Linked DNA regions of Canis lupus familiaris. The protein of the gene in region 1 purifies or fractionates together with the protein of each later gene. This does not show direct contact. Links are inferred from orthologs where the notes say so. Each region holds a gene or a part of one and is shown on either strand. Other genes may lie near its edges.

What was found.
Region 2: the proteins of KDM5B (region 1) and PAX9 purify together in Homo sapiens (affinity purification with western blotting, with the first as the bait; 3 studies listed by BioGRID). This does not show direct contact. The link is inferred for Canis lupus familiaris from reciprocal best matches to the Homo sapiens genes KDM5B and PAX9.

The regions. Positions count from the first base shown.
Region 1 is NC_049228.1:463,263-467,762, forward strand, and holds the start of KDM5B (lysine-specific demethylase 5B), read left to right. Parts: upstream 1-1,527; 5' UTR 1,528-1,542; coding exon 1,543-1,746; intron 1,747-3,646; exon of another isoform or gene 3,647-3,786; intron 3,787-4,500. UniProt on the Homo sapiens protein: Histone demethylase that demethylates 'Lys-4' of histone H3, thereby playing a central role in histone code. Does not demethylate histone H3 'Lys-9' or H3 'Lys-27'. Demethylates trimethylated, dimethylated and monomethylated H3 'Lys-4'.
Region 2 is NC_049229.1:15,387,469-15,391,266, reverse strand, and holds part of PAX9 (paired box protein Pax-9), read right to left. Parts: exon of another isoform or gene 3,355-3,798; intron 2,596-3,354; 5' UTR 2,206-2,595; coding exon 2,202-2,205; intron 1,401-2,201; coding exon 774-1,400; intron 1-773. UniProt on the Homo sapiens protein: Transcription factor required for normal development of thymus, parathyroid glands, ultimobranchial bodies, teeth, skeletal elements of skull and larynx as well as distal limbs.

The DNA.
Region 1 (4,500 bases):
GTACCTGTGGGAGGGGCTTCCTGGAGAGCAGGCTTCTCCCCTCCCCCTCTTTTTAAATTGAATCCTTAAGGGTCAGAGAGACTTCCTTCCTCAAGGTGAACCTGAGGGCAGAGCTAGGACCCTGTTGACCCAAGCGGCACCTCCATGGGGTGGGCTGGATAAGCGCGATCTTTCTGTGTGTGTTGAGGTCCTACTTGTTGAATGTCCTCTGTCCTCTTCTGGGCAGGACACCAGGCACTCAACCTGCCCCCCTCCCTGCCGCCTCCACAGTGCTCACATCTCTTACAGTTACTTCTCTGTGCCTGCATTGCTTGCTCCGCAAAATGGAGAGGATAGCAGTACCCACCGCTCAGGATGGTGTGGACATTCAACACGAGCAGGCAAAGCATTTGCGTTACACACAGTGAGCATTAGATAATGGCTGCCACTCACAGGCTAAAGAATTCCAGATTCTCATCTCCACTTCTGATCTCCAGATTTGTGCCGTCCGGCCTGTTAAAGGTTTCCGACGGACCAGACTCAACGCATCCAGAGGGACCACGTTATCTCCCTTCTCTTGCTGATCTCCTGTGTACAAGCTGGGGGATGCCGCAGCGATGCCGCCGGGCCGCAACCACTCCGGCGGCGGACCCTCCACGCCCGAGTCATCCCGGACACCTTACTGTCCCTCCGCAATGTGTCGCGGTCCTAATTGATCTCCTACATTTGAATCCCCCTTCCTGACGGACAGCACCGCTGTCCTCACTCCGGCACCCCCTTCTCGTCTACATTACTTTGTCTTCTGCTTCCCTGGCGCCCACCTCGCTATCGTGCGGCTCGAGGACCGCTCTTCCCGCGACCCCCGTCCCTCCCAGGGACCGTCTCCAGCACTTGTTAGCGGTGCGAACTTGGGCGAACTGCTTCTGACCTGGGCCTCCCCGACTCCTTGTCTGTAAAGTGGGAAGGAGGGGACCTGCCCCGTGGGGTGGCCGTGCAGGTTCGGGGGCGCATCCTGCGGAGCGCTTAGACGCGGTGCCCGGGACGGGCCAGCGCTCACGGGCCGGCTGGTTACTAACATCCTAACCATTGTTGTCTCGCCTCCATTTTGTTGGTATGTTCCAGGCGCTCCCCCCACCTGGAGGACCCTTCCCCGCCCCCCCGCCCCCCCCCCCCCCCAGTGCCGAACGCCGCCTGCCGGTCCCCGGCGTTTCCCCAAGTGTGTGACCTCGGGTCGCGGCGCCTGCCCCGCGTGCGGGCGCGACTCCTCCTCCACCCGCGCGTTAACTTCTGGGGGCACCGGCCGCGGCCCCAGCGCACCGGCGAGCAGCGCGGGCGCGCGGCCCCGCAGCCCCGAGGCCCCGGCCCCGCCCGGTGCGGGGGCGGGGCCGGGCGCCGGGCGCGGGGGGGCGGGGGGCGGGGAGGGACTCTTTTTCCTCGCCGTGGCGGCGGAGGCGCACGGCGTGGGGAGCGGCGAGACGTCGTCGGAGGAAGGCTGAAAAAGCCCAAGGTGCTGCCGTTGCGAGTACAAGTGGGACCCGCCGCCGCCGGAGCCGCCCCGCGGCGATGGAGCCGGCCGCCGCGCTGCCCCCGGGCCCGCGCCCCGCGCTGCCCCTCGGCGGCCCGGGCCCGCTGGGCGAGTTCCTGCCGCCCCCCGAGTGCCCGGTCTTCGAGCCCAGCTGGGAGGAGTTCGCCGACCCCTTCGCCTTCATCCACAAGATCCGGCCCATCGCCGAGCAGACGGGGATCTGTAAGGTGCGGCCGCCGCCGGTGAGTCACGCCGGCGCCCCGGAGCCCGCTCGCGGCCCGGGCGGGGAGCGAGGACGCGCGGCCGGGGAGGCCCGGGGCGCGGGGGCGGGGGCGGCGGCAAGTTCGGGGCTGCCCCGGGGTCGGCGTCGAGGCCGCGGGCGGGGGCCGGGGCTCCTCCCGGGCGCTTCGGCGGGGCCGCCCCGCGGGCCCGGGCGGACGGGAGGGCGGCCCGGCCCGGGGGTGGGGGTTCGGGTTCGGTTCCGGGCGGCGCGGCGGCCGCGCTGGGCGCGGGGCGCTTCCTGCCGGGGGCGGCGGCGGCGGGCGGCGCGGCTCGGCGGGCCGGGGCTCGCCTCCGCCGGGTGCGGGGGTGCGCGCCGGGTGGGGGTGGGGGACTCGCGAGTTGTCGTGCGCGGACGAAAGTTTTCAATATGGCGGCGGGAGCCCCTGGTCCTTTGTGTGGCGGCGGCGGCGGCCCGGAGCGGCCCTCACCTGGGCGCCCCACCCTGCAGGCGGGGGCGCCCCCTGTCCCCCGGGCCCCGGCCTCCTGGGTCCCCCGGGCCGGGCCGCCGCAGGGGGCGCCCCGCGCTGCCGGGGGCGGGGGGGGCCGCGGGGAGGGCGCCGAGCGGCCGCTGCGGGGGCCGTAAGTGTGCGGGGGGCGCCGGGGGGGCGGGGGGCCGGCGCCGCGCGGGGGGCCCGGCTGGGGGGCGGCGGACGTGTCGGGCCCGAGGCCCGCGCCCGAGGCCGAGGTGCGCCCCGCCGGAGCCGCGAGCGGGGCGCGGGGCGCGGGGCGCGGGGGCTGCGAGCGCGGAGTCCTCGCTAACGGCTCCAACGGGCGCCGGCCTCCCGCCCCGCCCCGCCCCCACCCGGAACTGGGCGCGCGCCGACGCCCCCGCCCCCCGCCCACCTGGCGGCCCCGCGGAGCCTGAGAGCCTGAGCCTGCGGCCGGGCGGGGCGGGGGCCGCTGGGGCTGCCGTCGGAGACCCCCGCCCCCGCCCCCGCCCCCGCCCGGCTCGCCCTTTGTAGTGACACTTCAGTGGCGGGGGTCCTGCTGTCTCCCGCCTCCTTTCTCCCCCAAATTAAACGCAGGCTCCCCGCCTTGGTGGTTCTCGGACAAGTTTGAAGACGGAGATGAGATCCGTGCCCCGGAAGACGGCTGGCCCGCTCGTCCGCTCGTCCGGGGGAAACGTTTGAAAATACACCGTTTGTCTCCCGAGGTGGATCAGGCGGCCGAGGTGGCTGCCGAGGTAGCTGAGGTGGATGAGGTGGCCGAGGCTGCTGAAGGGGCCGAGGAGGCTGAGGCGGCCGCGCCGAGCTGGCCTTTCAGCCTTGCCGCGTAGCTGAGCCTGTGCCCCGCCGGGAAGGCGCCCCGAGTGTGCCGAGCACCCACAGTCCTGTGGGTTGACTCGCCTCGCCTCGCCTCGCCTCGCCTCGCGGCGGGAGGAGCCCGGGGCGCCGTCCTCGGCCTGCCTCCCGCTGCCACACGCACGCCGGCCACCATCTTGTGAGGCGAGCAGGGCGTCGAGGCCGGCGGGTGAGGGGGCGCCGGGAGGCCGCGCTGGAGACCCTCGTGCCCGGGGCTCCCGTCGTCCTTTGTGTGGCGAACTCTGTGCCGCCCGGGCAGCGCCCGTTGGAAGGAGCGCGGAAGGGATCTTCCCAGAAGTTGGAGCCCGGGAAGCGCCTCGTTGGGACGAGGGTCAGGGACCGCCCGGGGCCTGCCTCACGAGGCTGTGGGCAAGTGGCCGCAGACCCCAGGGCCCGGGAACTCCGCCGTCCGGCCTGCGGCGCCCGCGCTGCTCCGACTTGTGTGCGTGACGTCCGGAGGCGGCGGCTCCCGGGCGAGCCGGGGCCGGGGCCGGGGCCGGGGCCGGGGCCGGGGCCGGGGCCGGGGCCGGGGCCGGGGCCGGGGAGGAGCCCCGCAGCGGGTTGCGCCTGCCCTCATCTCCGTATCTTTAATTAATGGTGTTTACACACGTCGCGTCCGTGGCTGCTCTCCGTGAGGCTCCCGAACTCTCGTCCCTCTGCAAACTTGGGCTTCACGGAAATTTGTGAGGATCTAGTGAGGTAAATGCGGTGAAGGGAACACGCTCAAAAGACTTAGATCCTGAATTGAAAGTTTAAAGGGGAACATAAACGTCTTTCAGATTACATCAAGTATGTAGGACAACCAGATTTATTTCCTGGGCTTTAAAAAAAAAATTTTTTTTAAACTTACAATTAGTCCGACTTCTGGTTTTGCTGCCTTTAAAATGTACACTCTCATTTCCTCCTTGATGTGCTTAGATGTCTTTTTAAGGACAAATTTTCATCTTGCTTTGTGGTATTTGGAAATGATTAATATTAGGAGTGTAACCATTAGGCAAAAAATAGTTGGCTGCTCGGTGGATACTTTTTTGGGTCTCTCAAGTTTGATTGGAATATACTTGATGGCTTTAATGACTTTCTTTGTTGCCCTCAAACGCCTAACATTTGGCCATAGATAGGCAGATTCCACATATTTCTTCTTTGCCAGTGTCCAAAAATAAGAGATTTAAATCAAACCCCAGATGGCACAGTAAACACATTTTTTCAGCTTTAACTTTCTGTGGGTCATTATTTTGATCCCTTCATCTTTATAGCCAAAGCGAAAAACTTTCAAGTGTGTTAACACAGTCAGCGTCTTTGAGTGCGCCTGCGGGTTCTACCATTAGGAGCAGGGAGGAGCTTAAATACACGTCTTTGTCTGGTTAGAGGCGTTAATGATCTAGAGCTCCTTTACTCTCCTCCCAGCCTATCAAT
Region 2 (3,798 bases), on another chromosome or scaffold:
CTGCGGGGGGGGGGGGTGCCACTTCCTAAGATACACACAGACTGAAGTCGGCTAAGGTAAAGGCCGGGGGTGGGAGCGATACGAAAAAGAGAGAGGCAGAGAGAGAGAGAGAGAGAGAGAGAGAGAGAAATAAAGCAGAAAATGAGTCCCAGAATGAGCAATGCAGCAACATGCAAGTTACTAGTAGTAACTTGGGGACCTCCGTTTCCGAGGAAAATGAAGTGAAGCATAAGAATGAAACCAATTAGGTGACATTTGAACTTCCTGCCTGAGCAAATTTGGCCTGATTGCCAGAATCCAAGAATACTGCAATTTCCACAGGGTGCCCGACTCCTCGCGGCCGCATCTGATCCCCAAACAAGCCGCCCGCAGCGGTGTCTGCAGCCAGCAGCCCCACGCCGGCTCAGGCCTCCCGGGCTGCGCCCCAAGTCCGACCCGGGCCGCGCTCTCCAAGCGAGCGAGCGGGTCTAAGGCTGCCGCGGCGCGAGAGGCGGGGGAGGGTGGAAAATGCGAACCATGTGTTGGGGATGGGGGGATGTTATGGGTCTGGTAGTTTGAGATGAGGCAGGAGACTGTGTGTGGCAAGGAAACAGAGGGCATGAATTTCAAGTTAATGAGATCAGGACACCCCCTGGGAGGACTCCTTCGTTTCGAAAGGAAAAAGCCTCAGGTGGTGGGATAGGCGCGGGCCCCGAGGCCGCAGATACGGAGACACCAGCGAGGGTGCAGAGGAAGGCTCTGCACACCCACACGTCCGGCCCCCGAGCCCTTACCTTGGTCGGTGATAGAGCGAATGCCCAGGATGTCGGTGACGGAATGGGAGGAGGGCCAGGTACGGGGCATGGCCACCGAGCCGGGGATGGCAGGCACCCCGGGAGGCGTGGGCACCTTAGCTGCGGCCGCCGTGATGGGGCTGGGGTACGAGTAGATGTGGTTATAGGGCAGCGCCGGCTGTGGCGCCGGCTGGTGCTGCTTGTACGAGTCGTAATGGCCCTGTTGAGCCAAGTTGCCGATCTTGTTGCGCAGGATGCGGCTGATGGAGCTCACCGAGGGCACGTTGTACTTGTCACACACGCCGTCCGCCAGCAGGCGGTCCCGGATTTCCCAGGCAAAGATGCCAGGATCCCTTTGCTTGTAGGTCCGGATGTGCTTCACCACGGTGGGGGTGGTAACTCGGGGCTTGCTGCCCCCAATGGCTCCTGGCAAGATCGAGCCCGTCTCGTTGTAGCGCGCCAGAATCTTGCTGACGCAGCCGTGTGAGACCCGTAGCTGGCGGCTGATGTCACACGGTCTGATGCCCAGTTGGGCCAGTTCCACGATACGAAGCCGGATAGCGTTGGGCAGCGGCCTCCCGTTCACGAATACTCCTCCCAGCTGGTTCACCTCCCCAAAGGCTGGCTCTGCAAAACCAACACGCGGCGCGCGGGGACGCGCCCCGGCAGTTTGGGACAGCCGGTTACCACTCGGCCTCCGCCCACGTCAGGGGGCTGGGTAGATGCACCCACCCCCGGCGGGGAACCTGGGCTTTTCCCAAACCCTACTGTCCCCGAGCCTTGCCCAACAGCCCCAAACCACTAAGGTCGAATCGGACACCCTCCCTCCCTCCCCCCACCCCGTTCCGGTGGTGCCTGCGGCCACTACAAGCAAATAAAGTGGTGAGAAGCAAGGCCGCTCCAAGTGCTCAAAAGCCTCCGAAGCAGGCGGGGAAATCAGTCTTGACGCCTGCAACCGGCTCCTTCTCGGCTGCTCGGCGCTAAAAGTCTTTGGGCCGCTACCGCTTGAGCCCCAGCGCCCGGCCTGGGGACCGGCGCAATTAGGCAAGGTCTAGGAGAAACTACGGTTGGTTTGGTTGTTTTGTTTTGGTTTGGTTTGGTTTTTTCCTGTTCTGAGTTGTGTGAGTTTATGTGAAACAAAACTTGGTCCGCCACCGAGGCTACAGGGCTTGCTGATGCCACCGCTCCCTTGTTTTAAGATCAGAAAATGGCATCAACAGCAACCCAGTAGCCAGCGTTCACACACTGAACTGCCGTGCGCCCTGACCCTTAGCGCGTTCCTAACAACTTGTAGGAACACGAGCAAAGTCAATAAGAAGAGTGTGAGCGCTCAGCGGTGCGCGCCCTCGCGCTCCCTCCCTCCCTCCCTCGCCTTCTCCTTCCCTCCCTCCCTCCCCGGCTCTGACAGCGTTCCCCGCCGCCACTCACCCATTGCTCCGAGCAGTACACCAAAGGGGCCCCAGTTCCGAACTCCCAAAAAGAAACTTTTCGCACAGCCCCAGTGGCCCGGCTTGCCGCTGCCCCGGACCGCCGGTGCCTCCGCTTCTTCCCGGGAGGAGGCGGCGAGAGAGCAGAAGGAAGGAGTAAAAGGAAGTCTGTGCCCCGATGAAAGAGGCTAGAGTTCTGCATTTCAATCTAAGCAGCAACGTGGGCTGGCCCGAGCTGGGCCGGGCGGCTCCGTCTATCACTCACCAGGGACACGCCCTCAAAGAGGAGGGCCCGAGGTCAAGCTGCGTGGTGATTGGTGCGGGCTGCTGAGCGACAGTGCAGTCCGGGAAAGTTCTTCCGCTGTCTCTTTCAAGCTTGCTCTGCACCTGGGTGACTAAATACAATGAAAATGGATGTTTGACACCTTTCCGGCGGCAGCGCAAACAGACAACAAAATCAGGCTGATAAAAATGCTGAATAAGCAAATGAAAGCGTTTAGTCTGAATAGACTAAGGAGGAAGGAGTTGAGGAAACTTGGCGGGAGGGGGGAACAGACGCCTCCGAACTGAAGGTAGAACTCTAGGTGAGAGGTGGGGGCCACCGTCAGGTGTGTGTGTGTCGGGGGGGGGGGGTATTCTTAGAATAGCCGGTCCTGCGGGCCTCCTGGGGCTGTCCGGAGATGGACGCTATTACAGGAGGATGATACCTCACTCCAGCCTATGCTAGGTAGCTAGAGCGCAGGTGAGTCGGTAGGCCGATCCGAGAGACCAGGAGGTTAAGGGGAGACCGAGCCAGAGGTGGAGGCCACTGTGACCGCCAGGTGGAGACCCCTCTGCTGCCCCTGGGACTACCCCGCCCCCAACGCAGTTTCTGGTGGGTTCATTCGAGAGCGCGGAGGCAAACCCTAGCCACGCAGGCTCCAGGCTGTGGCCGCACACGGTTCGCGGAGAAGTTAAGCAGCTCCCAGCCAACATCGAAGATTGCCTGGCTCGAGGCACTCTCCTTGGAGGCCTGCGCGCCACTGCGCTCAGCTTCGGTGCTGGACTGCTGGTACTTGATGCCACGGTTTGCCGGTTTCCCCCCCAACCAGTGAACCGCAGCAAAAGGGTCTTATTTAATGAAAGAGATTGGTCCCAAGAAAGTTGAACATCGAGCCTGCACCTACATGCAATTCCCCCATCTTCTGTTTAGCTACCAGAGGCCCTGAGAATCAGCCTACTTCTGATTTTTCACTTTCGATCACTCCAAGTCTAATCTAAAGTGTACATTACTCTTTTTGGCGGCCAAAATTAATCACATTTTGAATATGGGTTGTGGAGAATGCTAATCAAAATTAAAAACAAGATGGGAGACATCTTTAGAACCTGGGTGTTTGGACTGCTTAGGTTCAAGGATACTAGACAGTCATAACATTACTTCTTGTGCACAAGGATTCCTGTTGATCCTCCCACAATCCCAAGGGATGTGTATGGCTCTGGTCTACCTACAGGGAAGCTGACTGGGCCCAGATTCTGGGCCAGTAAGTGACAAGAAACCAGAAGAATGAATGGTCATCTCTGCTTTTTGAAATGAAGAGCCACCTCCAGATTTTCAGGCT